2 linked regions of the Rhinolophus ferrumequinum genome follow. The protein of the gene in region 1 interacts with the protein of each later gene in a pairwise test. Links are inferred from orthologs where the notes say so. Each region holds a gene or a part of one and is shown in the gene's direction. Other genes may lie near its edges.

Region 1 (10,363 bases):
ACCATGCATCAAGACTATATAGTACACCAGTGAACCGTATTAGTATACTGGGCCAGTGTTATTACTTCTGTGCCTTTGTTTAGGGAATCAATCATATAAAAAAGGTATTACAGGATTAATTAAAAAAAAAAAAACCCTGTAAATAAAGCCTCCTATGAGAATAGAAGAACTTCCTCAAAAGCAGGGAACAAATCTTACTGATCTTCCAGTCCCCAGTACAGTTCTGACAGAGAATAGTTCTCAAAAATGTGTTGAACAGATTTACGTATGTTGACATGAAATCAATAAATTGAGAGCAGGAATACAAACATACTGCTCTCTCCCAATGTGCTGATTTTTTACAGGTTTAGCCATTTTAAGTTGCATTCATCCGACCATTGTCCCACCACGTCTCCCTAACAGACTACAGTTCTCTGAGCTGACCCATAGAATTAAGGATCTTCAGAACAGTTGAAAGAATTGCAAATGCACTTCACTCAGCCTTTGCTGCTTTACTAATGAACAGCAAAAAGCATTATGGAGCGCTACGATCTAAATTATTTGGTTTCCCTTGTGAGTCTCATGCCAGAGTGAGAGCAGTAAGGATGGGAGTGGTGGGCAGTGAGGACAGAGCAGTAGGGAGAAGCCAGATTGATGCTGGAATTCTTTAGATTCCACTCTGTTTTAAAGGATTTTAGGCAGATTTCGGCAGATTTTCACTGTAGATAAATGGCTCTGCAGTTACGTGGGGAATGGATATAAATAAAGGTGGAACATAGGTTAAGGCTGGAGGAGGGAGAACAATGGCAGAACTAGAACAGTGGTAGTAGGGGCAGAAATCCCTCAGGAGCTATTACTAACATGAGGTAACATAGGCAACAGGAATCTCAACATGTCTTAAATAGAACTCATCATTCCCCCTAAACTGACCCTCTACCACTCTTCTGTTTCAGGAAATGACGATAATTTCCTTCATCTCCTAGATCCAATTAAAGACTATATCCTATGGTTTCCAACTCCTAGCTCTCTCCCAAACCCATTCACTTTTTTCCACTATGTCCTACTCCGCCATCATTTTTGCTTTGGATAAGTGGACAACTGCCCAGCTGATGTTGCACATCCACTCTTGACCCCTGAAATCCATTCTCTTTGTTTCCAAAGGGAGCTTTCTGATACACCACGGACCATGTCACCATCTTGCTCAAAACCCCTCACAGGCTTCCCATTGTTCCTAGGATGAAGTCCACAACTCTTAACGTGGCTTACAAGATCCTCTGTTATGTGGCTGCCTAAAAACAGAATTCTAAACTGAGCGTTTCTTATGTGCTAGGGACTGTGCTATGTTTTGCAAGCATTGTTTCATTTTATTCTCATTGTGAGGCAGGAACTATTAGCATTGTCCTCATTTTGCAGATGAGAAAACCGAGTCAAGGAGAGATTATGTAATTTTTCTAAGGTTGTAGAGCTAATAAAGTATTGGAGCCAGGTCTGACTCCAGAGCTCGTGCTTAAGCTTTCACACTCCCCTCATCCTGTGCTCCAACCACACTGCATTACTTTCAGTCCTGAGAACTCATCCGCTCTTTTTGGCCAGGAGGCCTCCACACATGTTGTTCCCTGTGCCTGGAATGTCTTCCTCAAAAATCTCATTTTTGCCAGGATAGTATTTATTCACTCATCAAATCTCTGTTTAAATGTCATCTCTTCAGGGAAGTCTTCCCTACCTATCTAAAATTACATTATTTGTTTACTTCCTTCTGATCTGTCTCCCTTCAGTAGAATGTCAAAATTGTTCGGCACTGGTTCCCAGTTCTTAGAATGGCATTCACCTGGGGTTCGATAAACATTTGTTGAATGAAGGCATGACTGAATAATGTGGGGATGGAAACTCCCTAATTTAGTAACTTCATCTATTCAGACTGATAAGAAACAAAAAGAAGCCAAATATAAATTTGTTCATCCACTTGATATTTATTTAGTAGCTCCCAGGTCCCAGCCAATACTTTTGAGAACTTACAGCCCTCCCGGGGGAAGAGACACATAGGCATGATTATAGCACAATATAAGTAAAGTGCCTGTTAAAATTGTGGCAGGAATAAAGTGCAATAGATGCAGAGATGAAAAAAGGTATAAATCTACGGCAAACCTTTACAGTAGAGGAGATTCTTGGATCGTTTTGCAGAATGAATGAGTCTTGAAATATCTATCACATAGTCCATGTATTTCACTTATGAAAGGGGAGAGAAGCATCCACTATATACTGGGGCACTTTACATCGCATTTAATTCTCACAACAGCTCTGTTATTAATTCCCATTTTACAGATGTGGAAATCCAAACTAAAACAAGTCAAGGAACTTGTCCAAGGTTATGCAGTATATTAATAAAGGAGTATAGGTTGACCCAGTACCCATTTACTTACGGTTGTATCACAGTCCTTTGACCCTGTACTCCCCAGAGCCTAATTACTTGTTTTCATTATAACTCTTAACAAAATTGGTTATCTGGTTTCCCATTCTAACAGAAATAAGCAGCAAATGTAAAGGTTCAAAAAGAGACCAAAGTGAAGTATACTAACAGCAAAAAAAGGAACAGGAAAACCATAAAAACTGAACACAAAATTAAAAAAACATGGATCATATAGTCTTCTACATTCCACCCTTAGCTATGCAACAGTACTTGATGTGCATAATGATGACCCCATTATGAAAAAAGGTAATTGTAGTCACTACAGTCTATATGATAAATAATGTTGATGCTTGAGACGGTAAACTTCAGGTATCTAGAAAATTAATCCCTCTCTGGTAACCCTGGATAAATGAATTGTAATGATTATTTCCAAAGTGTCTGTAAGAAAAAATGTCCCAAGATCTTAAAAAGTCTCCATTTTATGGACATGGTTATTTTTCTATTGCTTTAAACTAAATTTTAGCCAGAATAGAAAAACTGTCCATCTTAACTTCCATATGTATACACAAGAAAATCATAAATTTGAAAAACTCACACTATGACTTTGAACACATGTAGATTGAGTAATTTAGACTGAGAAGCACAGTGTTACTGAGCATTGTTAATATCTAAAAACAACCCCTTAAAAGAGAACCATTTTAATAAATCTAATAAAACAGGATAAATTATGTACAAAACAAGAGGAAAACTATAATGTTTAACCTGTTGTACTCACAATTTAAATAGGTGTGTAGAGAAAAAAAAATTAAGCAAACACAGAGAAAGCTGGTTGAGTAATTTACCATAAAAGTGTTTCTGTCATATAGTCTACTTGGGTCCAACTTTTAAATCTGAAGATTTCAGCTCTTTTATAACATAAGCTTTTGTTACTTTATGTAATTCTTCTTCATTTTTTTTTTTTTTAAAGAATGGTTGCAGTTAAGACAACAGACCCTGGATTTTTTTGTTTTGTTTTTAAGAACAAGGGAAAATTGTTTCACCAATTATCTTGAACAAGCTGACAAGGGAACACTTAATATCCTTTATCATTTTGGAGGCTTTTAAATGTGAAACTTTCCACACAGAACACTGGTTGTAACAATGTAAAAAGCATACTGGCTACACTTCCCAACAACATGTAAAAATGAATATAGGGAAAAGTCAGTCTTTACTTGCAACTAACTATAACTCACACATTTTTTCCAGGAGCAATGCAGTTTCTGTTACAACTTTCTAGAAAGACAATACTTGTTTACTTATATTTGAAAATTGCTTTTATTTTAGTTCATGTTGCACAACTTTGGCCCCAAATTCAATGTTTTACAGAACACTCTAAAATTAAGATGTAGCCTGAACTCATAATAAGAGTTCATGTAACAACCTATTAGAAATAAAGTGAATTTAAGTGCAAGTAAAATTTTACTGTATTAGACAGACAGTTGTAATTATAATGCTCTTCCTTACCTGGACGCTCTTCAAAATAAACTCACTTTTCTCTCTTACATCTTTAAAGGGACACCTCTTAGAAAGCATAAGCAGATGAGCAAGCAGCTTATTCAACCCATCCAAAGAAACAGCATTTGAAAGCCCGTCTGATGGACAATAAGGTGTCTCTTTCACCGAACGAAGATACTCAGTTTTTCTCAAAATGATTTGCCTAATGTTTTCCAGTGCTGTCTCTCTAGCAGTTGAATCTCTACTGCACAGTCCATCCCATCTCATTTCATTCTCTCCTTCAGCCATGACAAACGGAGATTTTTTTCTTTGCAGTCTTCAGTTACCTTTCAGCATGTCCCCAAAGACATTTAAGGTGTTTTTAAACAAGAAATGTAAGAAAATCAGGGACATCGAATCGTCATGAAAACACACGTCTGGGTGACATTTGGAACCAGAAGTGTCTTTTAATATTGATGGCTTTCAAACGATCTGCAAGATAGACCTCACCCTCTCCTACACGCAGCGACAGTCTTCTGGTCGGAGACTAAAAAAAAGTTGGAAAGTTGAAACCTTACAGTGCTGGCTTTGCTGGACAGGGAAGTGTTCTCCGTCTCGCGGGGTCAGCGGATATCCTCACGTTGTGGAGCTGTCAAATCCGTGCTCTGCCCCAAAAGGCTGGTAACGTTGAACGCCCTCCAGCCATTCGGGTTTATTTGTGCAGCCACCGCGTTCTCCGGAGCGTTCCCACCCCGCCCCTCCTCGGGCACCAGTCCCCGCCCTCCGCAGTTGCTCCCTGCGCCTCAGCGGCGGGCTGGACGCAGGCTGGGAAGGCTCGCGGAACCGCGGCTCACTGGCCGCCGCGGCCGGAGACCCAAGCGCGCCGGGGAGGCAGCAGCCTCCAGCAGCCGCTGTCTCGGCGGCGTAGTCAGAGGACAGTGCCGAGGTCTGGTTGGCTCCGGACCCCCTGGCAGGCGCCGTTTCTCTCCCGATCGCTGCGTCCTCGCCCGCCGCCCACTGAACCAGACTGGCACCGGGCTGCCCCGCAATCCCCTAGCGCGGGTTGGGCCGCAGAGCTGGTGGAGCCGCAGGGCCCAGGCGCAGAACCCGCCTCTTCGCCCAGCCCCATCTGTGGGGCTCGGCCCAGAGGGCGGGAGCAGGGAGGGGAGATGGGGTCCTCACCCCCCAGCCCCTCCCCTTTCTCCGCCCGGCACAAACCAAGAGCCGCCCCTGCCCTAGCGCCCTGTTCCCCGCCCAGGCAGACGCGACCCGCAGAGGCAAAGCCATTGGAAAAAGCCCCGCCCTCCTCCAGCTACCTCCAGACCCCAAGTCCGTGCGCGACCGCTAACGGCGGCCGGATGCCACGCATGCGCGATGGCGAGCAAGGCGCATGCGCCTTAAGGCCTTGACGTTTGGATTCTCTGGACTGGCGAAGGGAAAGAAAAGTAAGGAGTTGAAGTACCTTGAAACTTTCACAGACAAGGCAAGCACGGCAAAGACGGACGCGCTCCTGGAAGAAACTGAATCTAATCTTAAGATTGGCCTAAAATTAGTGACTATCTCTTTATTACTCCAAATCCTTTATTCAAGGAGGTAGGGCGTCCTCCTATTGAGTGCTGGGAAATGTAGTTTTGATGCTGCTGGCGCGTTCCGTTTGCGATAGAAACTACAGCCCCCACAAACCACTGCGACGTTGCCTTTGGCGGCGGGCGAGTCGACCGTTAGCGCGCTGGGAGACTGAGAGCGTCAGCTTGGTGAGAACTGTAGGCTTGGATGCCACTTTTCCCTTGACAGGGTTTTTCCTTCCTACATTCCTCTGAGATTTTGGAGACAAAGCCGTCGAGGGTTGTCCTCCTTAGTCCAGGGACTTTTTCTAGTAATCTGTGTGGGAAGGACTAGTTCGGGTGCCCAAGCCCGAGGGGCGCGTGGAGGCGAGAAAGTGGGAAAGGTGGCGAATCTAAGAGTCCGAGGGAGCCGCAGACGGCCAGACAAAGAGGGATGCTGTAGGAAGGAGTGCTCCGCGCTGCTGCCTCTGCTTCCGCCCTTTCAGGTGGACTCGTGCGCGATGGATTCATGAATCCCTGTGCAATTGCACCTTTCTTTTGCCGTTGCTTAAGGGTTTTCTGGGCTTTATTTGCTCAGCCAACATGACATCCAAGCAGGGCTTTGCTTTGAAAGTGAGTTGTGAAATCCATTTTATATGAGACTAAAGGGAAAAGACTATCAAGAATATCTGGTATTCCTTGGTATGAATTTTTGCAGGCTTTAAGGATACTATATGAAAAAAGACCTGTAAAAATATTCAAAATTTTAAAAATTCAACCATGTGTTTACAAATTGCTGGTTTTTAAAAAATATCATTCCTCTTAGGAAAAGTCGTGAGCTGATAACCAAATTAAATTTTAATTGTTCACATTGCCGAATAAACGTGTTTCAAAATATGTAGCCTTGTTAGGTCCAGAGTATACAACAGTGAAAAAGATACAGCTCCTATGTATGAAGTTAGAGAAACGAATGGTTAAACATACGGTTACAGTACTGTGTGATATCCTTGGAATGGCTAGAGAGAGGCTCATTTAGCCCAGCCTTGGAAAGTCATGAAAACCATCCCAGTGAAAGAGAGGGCCAAAAGAACAGCATATGGTAAGGCCCAGAAGTGAGAGAGATATGGTACTTTCAGGAAACTACAAAAAGTCAATGGTACTTTCAGGAAACTACAATAAGTCAAATCATATATTTTGAGAGGGATAACTTTTTTTGTATTGATGTACTTTGAAGCTGCAAAGAGACAGGTACTGTAGATTCCAGATACGTAGTTTCTGGAAGTGACCTATCCTTGAACAGATTTATAGTTTCAAAGAATTGGTCTCATTTGGAAAGCCTGGCTACATTCTGATGCTACTAGTTTAATTCAGAATTTTAAAAAATAAGAACTTCTTATGAGTATGATTTCACAAAACAAGCAAAAAAAGTCATTCTTTTTGTGTGTGTGTGTCTTCTTTTTGGGCTCATCCTCCTTTGTCCAACCCCCAAAGGGTAGGGTTTCTTACGTCTAGGTCCCCTTTTTACTGCATAGTTGAAACTGTTCTCATCCATACCCATGCTTTCACCACCACCTATGATTCTTAAATGCATAGCTCCATCCAGCTTCACTTTCAGCTTTCATAGATCCATCTGCTTGTAGTATTTTGACGGCTTACGTTAAAGCCTGAGAACAGGTGGAATCACAAAACAGGCACTCCACTGAGTTTGGGTTGATTTGGAGTTATATACAAAGATGAATATGCAGGAGAGGCCGGTGAATGGACAGGAAGACCCACTTGTCCTAAAGCCAAATGAAAGTGATTAAGGAGGAAGAGTGCTAAATTACGTTAAATGCTGCCCTAGGTCAAGTGAAATGAGGATTGATGATTGACCACTACGTTTAGCAATGTAGATATCACTGAAGATCTTGAGAGCAGTTTTGGTGGAATAAAGGGTAAAAGCCAGATGGGCATTTTATTTAAGAGAAAAATAGAACTGGAGACTGTGGCTGCAGCCCCTCTGGTACTGTTTTCTTTGTTCAGACTTTTCTAGCCTGTCTTTGACTCCTCTTCCTGTAGATCTTAGCTCAAATATCACGTTCTCAAAGTTACCTGAGCTGAATAAATGCCCCTATTATAAATTTACTATCATTATATCATATATCTTTACTTGCTAATAAGTTATAAATTTGTTTCTGCAATTGTCTGTGTGCTAATTTGATTAAAGCATGCCTGCTACTGAAGCATAAGTACACAAGAGCAGTGACTGTGCTGAGTTTTGCTCTTGCTCATCATTTCCAGCTCTGAGTACAGTGGTTGGCATCAAGTATGAACTTAATAAATATTTGATGAATGAATGGAAGAAAAATGTAATGACAGAATTTTCAAAGGTATTAACATATTTACCTGTTGTTTACAAAACACAAGATAATGGATGGAAGAAGGTACTTTATCATGAAAACATTTTAGAAAATTAATCTTAAAAGAGCAAAGCTTTTAGTGCTAGTGAATTGTAGTGCTAACCTTCATGAAATAGGATTTGCTAATATTTTTACCATGTTCCTGCCACCTCATCCTGCTATAAGATAACAGAGTATTTAATAATACTCAAAAAGAGTTTGAAGACTTTGTCTAGAAATAAATGATAAAAATTTATTCAAGGGTCTTAGGTTTTGCAAGCAAGAAACATAACTAGGGAAAAACCCAGAAAGTGTTCCGGAGGAGAAGGTAAAGTTAAGAGTTCTTATAGTACAAAGTGCATTCTTTAATCAGTCCTGCACTCCTAGCCCTAGGGTTGGTCCAGGATGGTTCTCAGCCTGGATGATGGATGCCAGGTGTTCTGGAGGACGGGTGCCTGGAGGTCTGGTCACATCTAGTGTTCTGGATAACGGATGTCAAGTGGTCTGGATACGTGAGTCCTCCATGGGCTGTTCTGAATGTTATCTGGAGGTCTGATACATGTTCAGGCATTGTCGCAGGACTGGAAAGTTCAAAAGTTTAAGTTTCCAGGCTAGTTAAATCAGAGTAGAATCATTTCTCATACCTCAGCCTACTTGATTTTAGTAATTTAGCAGCTTGACTATAGGGACTCCATTTTATTGCTTCACAGTTCATATATATATATATATATATGTGTGTGTGTGTGTGTGTATATATATATATGTGTATATATATGTGTATATACATATGTGTGTGTGTATGTATATATATATACATACATACATATGTATATAGTAGAATACATGTAGAGAAGTAAAAGAATATATGTAGAGGAGTTGCCTCTTTAAATGAATAGTGCTCTAGTCAAGAAAAAGGCTGACTTGGTTGGTCTCCAAGAGGCCTTCATTATAAAATTCGTTAATGAATTTACTATAAAAACAAAACAGGGCACCTGAGGTTTATGGGCTTAGAAACACAATCTTGCTAAGTGTACCAGTTTGTGAGACTTCGAGATAAATATATATATAGATCTATCTATCTATCTATAGATAGATATTTGAGTGATACAGGCTACTGATGAATTTATTGTGATGCCGATTGTTATACTTTGAGATATTTGCCAAATAGATAGCACACTGATTCTCTGACAAAGGGGTTTTCTCAGGAAAATTACATGAGAAATCAGCAGGTTGCTTAGGAGGTAGGATTCAGAACAAATGTGGTCACTTAAAAGCGTTAAGCTATGAGAACCTCCACAGTAGAGCTTTACTTGCCTCCAAGTGTTGTCTTCTCTGAATTGCTTTTTCTGTTTCCATTCCTGACATCCCTTCTTTTTGATAAAAATATTCTTTCTTTAAATATGCTAAGGCGTTTGTATTGCAGCCTAGTCTGTGGCCTTAGGGCTGTTCTGTCTCTATACGCTAATTTTGCATGTATCTGCTCTAGTCTATTATATACTGATTTAGAGTTTAGCTCTCAGAGGGTAATTTTATTTCCAAGTTTTCCTAGGCCCAACATATCATATGGGGTACATTGATCTTGAGCTTAGCAACAAGGTCTGAACTACAGGTATATATTTGGAAACTATCAGCCTCTTGGAATATTTTGTTTTAGTTTACGTTTAAGCTACCATGTCTAAGCGCTTACTATGTTTCAGGCACTCTGTTAAATGCTTAGCATATATATTCTTTTATCTTTACAGAGCTAAAAAAAAAAAAAATCCAAAACTTACTCTTAACCTCTATTGGTTATGGAGACAATGTAGAAAAAGGACAGATCCAGGGTAGCCTGAAACTAACCAGAGAAGGAAGAGAATAATCAGTAGATAGTCAACCAAGGGATTCGAAAATTTCAAAAAGGAATTGACTAGTCGATACACAGAGTGCTACTGCCAGCATGTCTAGAAAGCTAAAGTTTCTAGGTGGTTTGACACTTACCGTAGTATCCCTGTTACAGTACAATATATGCATCTGGCATATATACCATATAAACATTGAATTGCTATGCTGTATTGAGATAGAGATTGATTGATTGGGGTGGCCTGTCGGGTAAAACCGTGCTGCTCCCTGAGGACAGGAGCGTCTCTCCCAAAGGGCTGGCATTCCTCTTGTTCAGCCTCTGCCAAGAAGAGGTAGGTTCCAGGTCAGCAAACTATCACTTGGATAAAGGGCTCTAAGTGGGAAAGGGTGACTCAGGATCTCTCTAAGCTGCTCTTTCCTTGGGTGCTGAGTGCGAAAATAGTGCTCATCAGTTGAAGGAAGATCAGGAACGAGGATAGAACAGGGCCTAAAAGCCTCTGCTAGAAAATCCTAACTTCAGATTCACTACCTGGTTTCCTTTTGGTGTCTGCTTTTTTCTCTTTTATTACCCTCTAGGCTTGGTAAAGTCTTATTTAAATACTATAACTTTGCTGTATCAAGACATGTAAGGGAAAGAGTCATACAGTCATAACTAGGAAGATCTAACTAGGCAAGAGCATTCTCCAGGGAGCAGCACCCTTCTCCCAGTGAGGCCAGCGAGGAGGGCAGTGATAATGAGATCT
Region 2 (10,271 bases), on another chromosome or scaffold:
TTTCTGGCAAGTTGCTATGTGATGCTGACACTGCTGGTGTCTGGGAATCACACTTTGAATAACACTGCTCTAGGCCATCCAACGTGGGGCTTCCAGATTTATCTTCCAAAAATACAGCTCAAATTGTATCCATCATCAGATAGAAAGCTCTGCAAAAAGCTGTTCCCTATTGATTACAGAAAAATCTAAACAGTAGTAGCCCAACATTGGAGGACCTCCGGAAAATGACCCCAAACTAACTTTCCCCTCTATTCCTCTTCCATTACTCTAGGACAGTGCTGCTCCACGTGTGGTCTGTGGGCCATCAGCACCCCCTGGTACGTACTCTCAGGCCCCACCCCAGGCCTACAGAATCAGAACCTCTAGGGATGAGGCCCAGGAATCTCGTTTTTAACAAGATGATCAGAGCTCCAGGCACAATAAAGTGTGAGATGCCCTGGATTAGAACCTAGGTGTCTCCTCCCCAACTTTCCCACCTATGAGGCTTTGCTTGTGTCAGCCCATCCATGGAATGCTTTTCCCCCATCTCCATATGTTTAAATCCTATCAAAAGCCACCAAGCTAATTCCTACACCTGGAAGTAATGTCTCTTTGCCTCTGAATTCCTGGTGGTGGCATCTGAAATCTTCCTATAATACTGAGCCCTTTTCTAGCTGGCACTGGAGATCTTTACAGACATGGCCTCTCTCCTAACCCGTGAACTTGAGGTCAGGATGCAGGTGGTAGGGATCGTTACACTCCCCCACAGAGCTCAGCTCAGTGCCTGGCACATTGGGGGCAGACAGTAAGCCTTTGCTGCAAGTACAAGTCAGGGAACGCACCACGGCCGTGGAATCGCTGACTGTGTGTTCACAGATGAAAGGTGCCTCTGGTATGTCCATGACCACAGAGGACTCCGAGGGTGTGGAGGACGTGTCCTTATCCAGCTCAGGGTTGTCAAGGTCCAGCAGGCCCCCAGTGGCCACTTGGGACTTATATCGGTGGGGGCTGAGGGCCAGCGCTCCCTTTTCTGTATTCTTGGCCATGGAGGAGAGGCTGAGTTTGTTCAGCTCGCTTTCCAGCATCCCTGCAAAGAAGCTGCTGTTGGGCTGGGTCACTGCCAATTTGATGGGATTCAACAAGGTGGATGAGATGGGGGAGATGCTGGTATCGTCGGAGCTACATTCAGAATCCTCCCCTGGCATCGGCTTCCTGGAGTGGGAGGGGAGACAGATGAGCCAGATGAAGGAGCCCACCCCAGCCCATGCAGCTTGGAAGCTGCCAGAGGCCATGCCTTGGGCCTGACTTACAAAGGTCCCCAGCTGCTTCTGAACAACTGAGAACGTCCTACTGCTGCGTGGCAGCACATCAAACCCGCCCGGGCACTTAGTAGTGAAAAAACGCAGGTTCCTGATCCCCAGACCCCAGGGGGGATGGGGGTGGGGGAGCTGCTAAAGTTAATAGGATCCTCAGACGATTCTAACGCAGCTGTTCTGAGAACCACAATTTGAGAAAGACTGCCAAAACTGGAAGTCCTCCCTCCAAAGCAGGGCGCAAACGCTCCAGGAAATGAGCACAGTGATCTCCTGAGGTATGGGAAAATATCTAAAAGTATCTAAAAAAAAAAAAAAATAAATGCAGCTTTATTAACATTTATTTATTATTATTGTTTAATATGTAATGCAATTACTAATTCATTTACTTAGCATTTAACATGTAAAATATATAGCCGTAAAATTATTATAAATATACATATACTGGGGTGAATTCTCAAACTTTTCTTCTAATTTCTTAAAATTATGAACTATTTTAGACATATCCAAAGATATCAAGAATAATATATTAGGTTGGTACAAAAGTAATAGCGGTTTAAAAGGTTAAACATAATTGCAAAAACCGCAATTACTTTTGCATCAACCTAATATTATTAAGCTTTTATTTAGCCATCATCCAGCTTCAGAACTAAAGCCTCATCAAGATAGTTAAGGCCCCGGACGTGTCTCTCCCCACCTCCGTCCTCATACTCCCTCTAAGAGCTAACCAGTAAATTTAAAATTTTGTGTTTATTATTCCCCATATGTCTTTATGGGTTTGTTACATATGTATGTTATCCCTAAGCAAGGCCTATTTTGCATATTTTTAAACTTTACACAAATAAATGATCACATTGTGTACATATCGATGGTAGCTTGCTTTTTCACTCAACATTGTGCTTTTTAGATCTATCTGTATTATACATGTAGCTCTGACTCAGTCATTTTGATTTTTGTGTGGTTTTCCATTACAGGGATATTTGTATTGTTACCAATTCTTTACTGTTACAAAGACAAACCTTCCACATGTTTGCCCACTACTTAATTTTTTTTTTTATTACTGATGAAGTGCAAAATCCCCCAAAAATTGGCTTTCAAATCTTTTTTTTATCTTGACTCAAAGAAATACACATTACATGGCAATGTAGTATACTCATACATATACATACAACTAAAACACAACTGCACAAACCAGTACTTTATGCGTGATAGGCCCTGGAATTTTTGATCTGTTTTATTTCATTTTTAAAATATTGGTCTCTACCAACTAGAATGAGTTCCTGACTCACTAATGGGTCACAACCCACAGTTTGAAGAGCACTTGTCTAGAGAGGGCAGTCAAGGTCACACAGTGAATTGATGACAGAGTTTGAACTAAAACCCAGGTCTCCGGGGTCCCAGGCCTGTCCCATTGCTATGTAGCTCCCATCTGTCCCTGGCTCTTCTCCTCTGCTTCCTACCCCATCTCCCCCAGCTGCTCTGGCCAAGTCCAGCAACCACCACACACCCCTGGATCCCTTACTCCAGACCAGCCACAGGCTTCATGGTTGGTTGATGGGCCAAATTTTTCCTCCCTGAGCTCCAGCCCCGTCGGCCTCCTCCTAAAAATATCCTGATCAACTCAAAGCTCCTATGCTAGCCTTTGGTGGACATTTGGAACAGATGATTCCCTCACTAAGGTCTCTTATACGCCGAAGAGTCTGAGTATTAATGCCATTTATACTTCAGATTGTCCTAATGAACCTCTATTTTAGATTTCCTTATTCAAAACACCAGTGCAGAAGTGGGCATGGAAGGCAGGGAAGAAGTAGGCTACATGCTGGACATATTCTATTCTGATCTTTACAGCAGCCCTACTAGATGGGTGGTAGCCCCATTTTGCAAATTAATGACCTTCAGTCTACAGCCATAGATCTAAATGGTAGAACGTGGATTTGAACGTGGCCTCATAGCCCTAGACTTTCCTACTATACCATGAAGTTTCCTATAAACATCCATGACTTTAGCCATACCCGCTTACTTACAGGTCCATTAGGGGGAAGGGACACTACATCCCTTTTCTATAATCAAGACGAGCTACATAGTTTGTGGGTCCCCTTCTTCAAAAATTATTAAGAATTTCAAGACAGTGACAGCGGAGCATTGAAGTTAAGCACTGGGCCCTTCTAAGTGTGGGGTTGTGTATGACTACACAGGTCACACGCCCATGAAAATGCCCTGCAGATAACTCCCTCAGCCTCCATCAACCTGCACCACCACCCCTTCACTGGCTCACTGCTTCCCTTCCTAGGAGATTCAGCTCACATGTCACCTCTTCCAGGAAGCCTTCCCTAACTGAACCCCCCTCCAAGCTATACTAACCCCCCTCTGGTGCCTCAGTGTCCTTTCCTAGTTGCTTTATTCGCAATTCTTTCCTGGCACCTTCCCAACACACATACCCCAGGCTGGGAGCTCTTTAAAGGCAGGGACTGTTCTTTTCAGCTCTGCCTTCCCAGAACTTAACCCTGGGCTAGACACCTTGCAGGAGCTCAAAGAGTTTTTTGGAATGAAGTAAATGGAACCCAGAATTACTGAGGAGGAACATAAACCTCAGTCCAAAAGCAGGCAGACTATTGGGGGGATATAATCAGGCAGCAGAAGGCACCAGAAGGGAGGATTGAGAAGAGGAGTCTTAGGGGAGTAGAATGGAGCAGGGGTGTCTGTGGGTGGCTGGGGGTGTGGGAAAAAGACCTTAACTAGACAAAGTAGACGAGAAGCACTGTTAACAAATCTCTAACTAATCCCGAAAGGCCTCCTGGAACTGCAGGCCCACATGCCTCCAAGAAGTGATTTGGGGTCCGGAATCCATGGTGCATCCTGCACACATGCTCTTCCCTGGGAGCTCAGGACCTGGGTTGTGACAGGTCCAGAAAGTACCGCTTCTTCAAGCCCTTCCCCACCCCTCAGCCCTGGCCTAAGAAAGGAGAAAAGGACCAGACTTTTGTCTTACGGTAGATTGATGGTATCTTCCTCCAAGAAGTTAACCAAACTGCCTCTTGAGGAAAGTGGGAGTCCTTTGGTAGCAACCGTCCTGTTCATAGACTTGGGGTTTGGAAAGGGCTTCGACTTTTGATCAAGCACACTCGAAACATTGAGGGTTTCCTTTTTCAGCATGGTCTCCTCCCCATCTCCCACTTTACAGAGCACCTCTGATGCCATCTAGTTTGTTTGGGACCACAGCTGTCACCGTACAGGACAACCAAGCTGACAGGAGGCAGAGAGAAACTGGGGGCAGCGGACCCACCCTAATTTGGGTGGGATGGGGGTGCAATGAGCTGACTTCATAAACATCACAGAGCATAACAATTAGGGGCAAGCCTCTCCCTTGATCTGAGGCTGCTGCTGCCCAGGGCCAGGATCTAGAGTGGGGTAGAGCTAAGGAACAGACTCCATCACCCTTCCAGCGCAAATGCTCTGTGGTTACAGCAACTCTGTCCTCTGAAGATCTCAAAATGTTTACCACCTGTACCTTTTGGTGCTGCCCTGGGAAGGAGGAGAAGGATGGTGGGAGAAAGACACCTGGGCACGGAGGGAGGCAGCGCTGGAATGGGTCTCTGGGAGTACGAGACTTTGTAGAACACTGAGGCTCTCTATCCAAAATTCTAGGCAGCACAGCCTCACTATGTTCAGTCATATAGGCAAAGGGAAAGCCCATAAGTTCATGGAGTTCATAGCTCACATATACCCAGGTTTCATGGCTAGACTTCTAAACATGCCACACCCTCACCCCAAGTGCTTCGTATGTTGAGCGACAGTTGGGAGTGCTGCAGAGGGAAACAAAGATGGGCCAGACATTATTTCTGTTCTCAAGGACACCACTGTACAGTAGGAAAACATACAACTTCGGGGATAAGAAGAGAAGAGCATTGGCTTTGCACTTAGATGTGGATTTGTCTGTGCTAAATCCAGCTCTGCCCTTACAAGCTCTGTAGTCTTTGAGATATGACTTTACCTCCCTGAGCCTCAGTTTCCTCATCTGCGAAATAGGGATAAACATAGCACCTGCCTCATTGGATTATGAGAAGATAACCCTGTAAGGTTGTTTTGTTTCTTCCAGGATGAGACAAAGCAAAGGACATTTAAAAATAACAAATCCTATTTTTTGTGTTCTATATACTCAGGGTTTTTGCTGTTATTCATTAAAAAATGGAAAGTACAGAGAAGCAGGTGTTTTCTGTGTGTTCCGTTGCCTCTTAGCACCAATGATATAATCTGTAATATTTAACTTTTTAAAAAAATTTTTATTAGGGAATATTGGGGAACAGTGTGTTTTTCCAGGACCCATGAGCTCCAAGTCAAATCGTCGTTTTTTCAATCTAGTTGTGGAGGGCGCAGCTCACTGGCCCATGTGGGAATGCAACTGGCGACCTTGGTGTTATGAGCACTGCGCTCTAACCACTGAGCAAACCGGCTGCCCCCATACTATTTAATTGATTTGATTTCTCTTCACTGTCTTGCCCTCACTAACAAGCAGGTCCCCTGTGCATAGGGATGGCTAGCCTTGTCGAGCTTCCTGGCCCAGCGTTTAGAACCGAGGCTCGCAGGAAGCCGCTCGTCCGTCCCTCGCAGCCAGCAGATGGCGCTATCGGTCCGGCCCTGGAGCCTGGAAGCCGGAAGCGGCCCTGCGGCCCGGGAGGGCGGGCCCTGGGCAAGGGAGACCCGGCAGGGTCCGCACTCTCCGCGCCGCCGCTTCCTTTCGTCCCCGCGGGCCCGGGGCCCCTCCAGAAAGAGGCGCCGGGAGGCGTCTAGAAAGGGCCCCGCTGATGTCCACGGGAATAGCGGCCCGGGGTCCCCAGGGAACATGGGCATGCTCAGGGCCGGACTGTGCCCAGGCCTTACCCAGGACATGATCCAGCTTCTGAGGAGCCGCGGGATCAAGACAGGTGACCGCGTGTGCGCCCCACACAGCTGGGCACACCGCGGATGCCACCCCCACCGCCCTGACATACCCGGGAGGGGGATAGCTCCGCCTTCCTGTGCCCCCCACCCTTCTGGAGAGGCTCGGAGGGAGGGAGTGGGCACCCCAAACCCCAGGCAGGCTCCTACTGTGTGCTGGGCACCGCGTCAGGTCCTGTGGCTCTGGTAGTTCCCGTAGGCCTCCTGAGATGATGGTCTGCCCTAAGGTAACACTGTCACCCCATTTCACAGATGAGGAAAAGCCAAGTGCGGGAAGCCCCGCCCTTCCTGCCAATCATCCACACTTGTTTTGTTTTCAGTGGTGGACCTGGTTTCCGCAGACCTGGAGGAGGTAGCCCAGAAATGTGGCTTGTCTTATAAGGTGAGCTGACGAACTACACTTTCCAAACCGGGGTGTTTCTACATGTTCATCCCTGAGCCCAGGGAGTGAAGGGTTCCGAGAGATTGATGGGGGGGGTGGGGTGGGGCGTAGGAGACCCTGGGATGCCCCCTCCCTTGGCTGGTCATTGCTCGTGGCTGAGTACTCTTGGTTGCTGAGTACTCTTGGTCCGCTTTGGGTTGAAGTGCCCCTGGGCTCGTCCTGAGTTGTCCCCGCCCCTCCGGCAGGCCCTGGTTGCGCTGAGGCGGGTACTGCTCGCCCAATTCTCAGCTTTTCCCTTCAATGGCGCTGATCTCTACGAGGAACTGAAGACCTCCACTGCCATCCTGTCTACCGGCATTGGAAGGTTTGTATGTGTACTTGGGGAAGAAGGTCAGAGGCAGGAGGACATGGCTGCCTCCTGCTTGGGTTTTGATGCTTGAGTCTAGAGAGCAGGGTTTCTCAGGCAGTGGTGAGGCCCGTTTGGACCAATGGTCAAGACTTCTGACTTCTCTTACCTTAAACGGGGTTTCTCGACCTCACACTCCTAACACTTTGGGATACATAATTATTTGGTGGCGATCAGGGTGTCCTGTGCACTGTAGGATGTTTGGCAGCCTCCCTGGTCTCTATCCACTAGATGCCAGTAACACCTCCCTCCTCCCTATGTCATGACAATCAAAAAATGTCTCCAGAAATTGCCAAATGACCCTGAGGGACACAGAATTGTCTCTGATTGAGAACTACTGTCCTGTAACACACGATGTCAATATTTCACTGTTATTCAGCATATCAGAGCAACTCTTCTCTGGCCCTACCTCCTATTTTAACTTAAGGATAGTGCAGGAGGGAACTTGGCAGGACTAACATTCACTGAGTGCCTACTATGTGCCAGCCATTGAATGTAGGTTATATAATCACTTCAGTGAATCCTGTGAGTTAGTAATTATTAAGCCACTTCAGTTTAACCCAAGAGGAGTGAGGGGCAGAGGTGGGGCTCAAGCCCTGGGGTATTTGACCTAGAACTTGGTGCATGCCCCATACTCTGCAGCAGGAGGGGACAAGAGAGCTTCCATAAAGGACTAGTTATTAGGTTGGTGCAAAAGTAATTGCGGTTTAAAAGGTTAAAAATAATTGCGAAAACCGCAGTTACTTTTGCACCAACCTAATACATTCTGCCATGTTGTTGAAAGAGAGAGAGAGATGGAGGACAACAGCCAGTTTCTAGCCAAGGGCCTGTTGGTGTGGAATTTGATGAAGAACTCTACCATCAGAAAGGTTTTTGGATCAGTTTGACCCTTGCTGTTTCCATAACACGTTCTCTTGGCAAGGTTCAACAGCATGGTGCCTGCTCCCCCTGGTTGGGGGTCTGAGTCTGTTATCCATCAAGCACTGGCTGAGTGCCTATTGGGTGCCAGATAAGATTCAGATGATAGGTGTGCAAGTGAGGCTTCTGCACTTGAGTGTGGGGTCTAGTGAGTAGAAAGAAGAGCAGGTGAACACAACAGAGAGGTGCATGCATGCGTGGAGGCCGCATAAGAAAGGGGTGATTAACAGACTTGGCCTTTGGGCTTTGGGAGCTTATAAAACCAACATCCTCAGAGGAAGCATTTATGGAGCAGTCAAGTGGTAAACTGGCAGGATTGCAGCTGCAGAGGGTCACTGCAGGGGAGAGCAGAGAGGCTCAGGAAGCCTCTGTGAAGGAGGCAGGTCTTGGGCATTGAGGAACGCGTGGCCTTTCTCAGTGCTTACCAAAGGCCAGGCACCGTGTTTACACTTCACGGTGCATTATTTCATTTGTTCTTCCCAACCACCAATGAGTGCATTACAACTAAAATCACCATTCTTTAGATGAGGAACTGAGACTCGGGTTAGGTGGCTTGCTCAAGATCATGCAGCTAGTAAGTGGCAGACTAGACCCCAGAAGTCACATCTGTCATACTCCTAAGTCTAAGAACCTGACTCTAAACCATCTACCCTGTTGTCCCTCAAGGCGGTGGGCCGTATTGTGAAACTAGAGCTACAGGCGTGTGGTAGAGGTGTGCAGGGTGGATGGGACTAGGGAGGCTGGCAGGAGAGAGCCCAAGGAAAGGGATGGCAGCGGTGGGGTGTGTGAGTCCGATCTAAGGCAGGTGACAGCGGGAGACGTATTGATGAGGACAAGTGGCAAGCCTTACTGCCAGGTAGGATTCAGGTGTGAAGAATCAAAGATGACTCCCTAGGTTTCTCCTTCCTCACAGTGGTCTGTGGACAGTGAATGGATGTGATGTTTTAAAGGGAACCAGGAGGGGAGTTCTTTAGTCAAAAATTTGGGAAATGTTCCAGTAACCCGAGTTAAAGAGATCTCTTTGTCATAGACCTTCCCAGAGCCTTTAGTGCAGATATGCAGTGTGGACTTTTATGAGGACAGTAGAACATGGAATGTACCTTGGAAGAAGCTGTATGGATTGGGGGGAGGGGGGGCTGAGTGGTTCCTTGAAGGCCGTAGACATGTTTTGTTCATTTCTATATCTCCCTTATTTTAGAATAAGGCCTTCAGGAAATGTGGGGCATTCAGGTGATGATTGAATGAATGGCTGTGAAGGAATGACTAAAAGCCAGTTCAGAGGGAAAGGTAGAGGATAAATCCCAGAAGTCACTTGTATCCAAAGCAAGTGGTAAAACCCAGGTATTCTTCTGCTCCACACGGCAGCGGGGTCTGTCTCCATTTCAGTGTGCTGAGTTAGAGGTGATCAGTAGAGAGGTCCTCTAGGCAGAAAGAGACATGGAACAAAACAGGTGAAAAGTCAGCTGGGAGGTGGATTTGGAAATTCCTTGTGCAGAGTGATCCTCACGGCCAAGAATGTGCTTGATTCTTGACTGGAGAACCCAATGATTTAGCCCAGGCTGCACATTAGAATCATTTGGAAGCTTAAGAAGTAGTTATACCTCGGTCTCGCCTTTAGAAATTCTGATTTACCTGCTCTAGGCTAGTGGCTCCCAAACTTGTCCGCACATTAGAGTCACCTGAGAATCCTTTTTAAAACAATTTTTTTTATTGGGGAATATTGGGGAACAGTGTTTTTCCAGGACCCATGAGCTCCATGTCAAGTCGTTGTTTTCAATCTAGTTTGGAGGGCGCAGCTCACTGGCCCATGTGGGAATCGAACTGGCAACCTTGGTGTTATGCGCCCTGCACTCTAACCACTAAGTCAGTCAGCTGCCCGAGAATTCTTTTTAATGGATACGTTTTTATTACAGGTCGGAATGTTACAGCATCATAAAAAATAGTAACATTTAGTGTTTTTCTGTTTATACAAGTAATACATGCTCATGATAGACAATTTGCAACACACAGGGAAACACAAAGAAAAAAAGAAAAACCACCTCAGTTAATAATTTTAGCCTTTCTGTGTCCATAATATCTAAGATTCCTGTTAGATAGTGTACACATTGTTATCATCCCTTTTGCTTCACGTTCTCTCCAATGTCTTAACATTTCCCCAATGTCTTTAAGTCTTCAAAACATTTTAGTGGTCATACAATATTATATAATATGTATAAATCACAGTTTACCCATAATTAATTATTCAATCACCAATTTGGAAATTTCCAACTTTTCTCCTGTAATTCATTCTTTCAAGACTGTTTATTGAGTGCTTACTTTAAACATGCAAAAGCCAGGC

What was found.
Region 2: the proteins of CEP57L1 (region 1) and RAD51D interact in binary tests that used the Homo sapiens proteins (3 or more experiments, as listed by UniProt). The two-hybrid records come from large-scale screens. The link is inferred for Rhinolophus ferrumequinum from reciprocal best matches to the Homo sapiens genes CEP57L1 and RAD51D.

Annotation. Positions count from the first base shown.
Region 1 is NC_046286.1:61,797,753-61,808,115, forward strand, and holds the start of CEP57L1 (centrosomal protein CEP57L1), read left to right. Parts: upstream 1-5,266; 5' UTR 5,267-5,493; coding exon 5,494-5,613; intron 5,614-8,168; exon of another isoform or gene 8,169-8,209; coding exon of another isoform or gene 8,210-8,293; intron 8,294-10,363. Other genes in the region: SESN1 (sestrin-1), read right to left, coding at 3,890-4,168. UniProt on the Homo sapiens protein: Centrosomal protein which may be required for microtubule attachment to centrosomes.
Region 2 is NC_046304.1:23,034,105-23,044,375, reverse strand, and holds the start of RAD51D (DNA repair protein RAD51 homolog 4), read left to right. Parts: upstream 1-5,953; 5' UTR 5,954-6,132; coding exon 6,133-6,214; intron 6,215-6,547; coding exon 6,548-6,609; intron 6,610-6,854; coding exon 6,855-6,973; intron 6,974-10,271. Other genes in the region: FNDC8 (fibronectin type III domain-containing protein 8), read right to left, coding at 822-1,191, 4,282-4,490. UniProt on the Homo sapiens protein: Involved in the homologous recombination repair (HRR) pathway of double-stranded DNA breaks arising during DNA replication or induced by DNA-damaging agents. Bind to single-stranded DNA (ssDNA) and has DNA-dependent ATPase activity.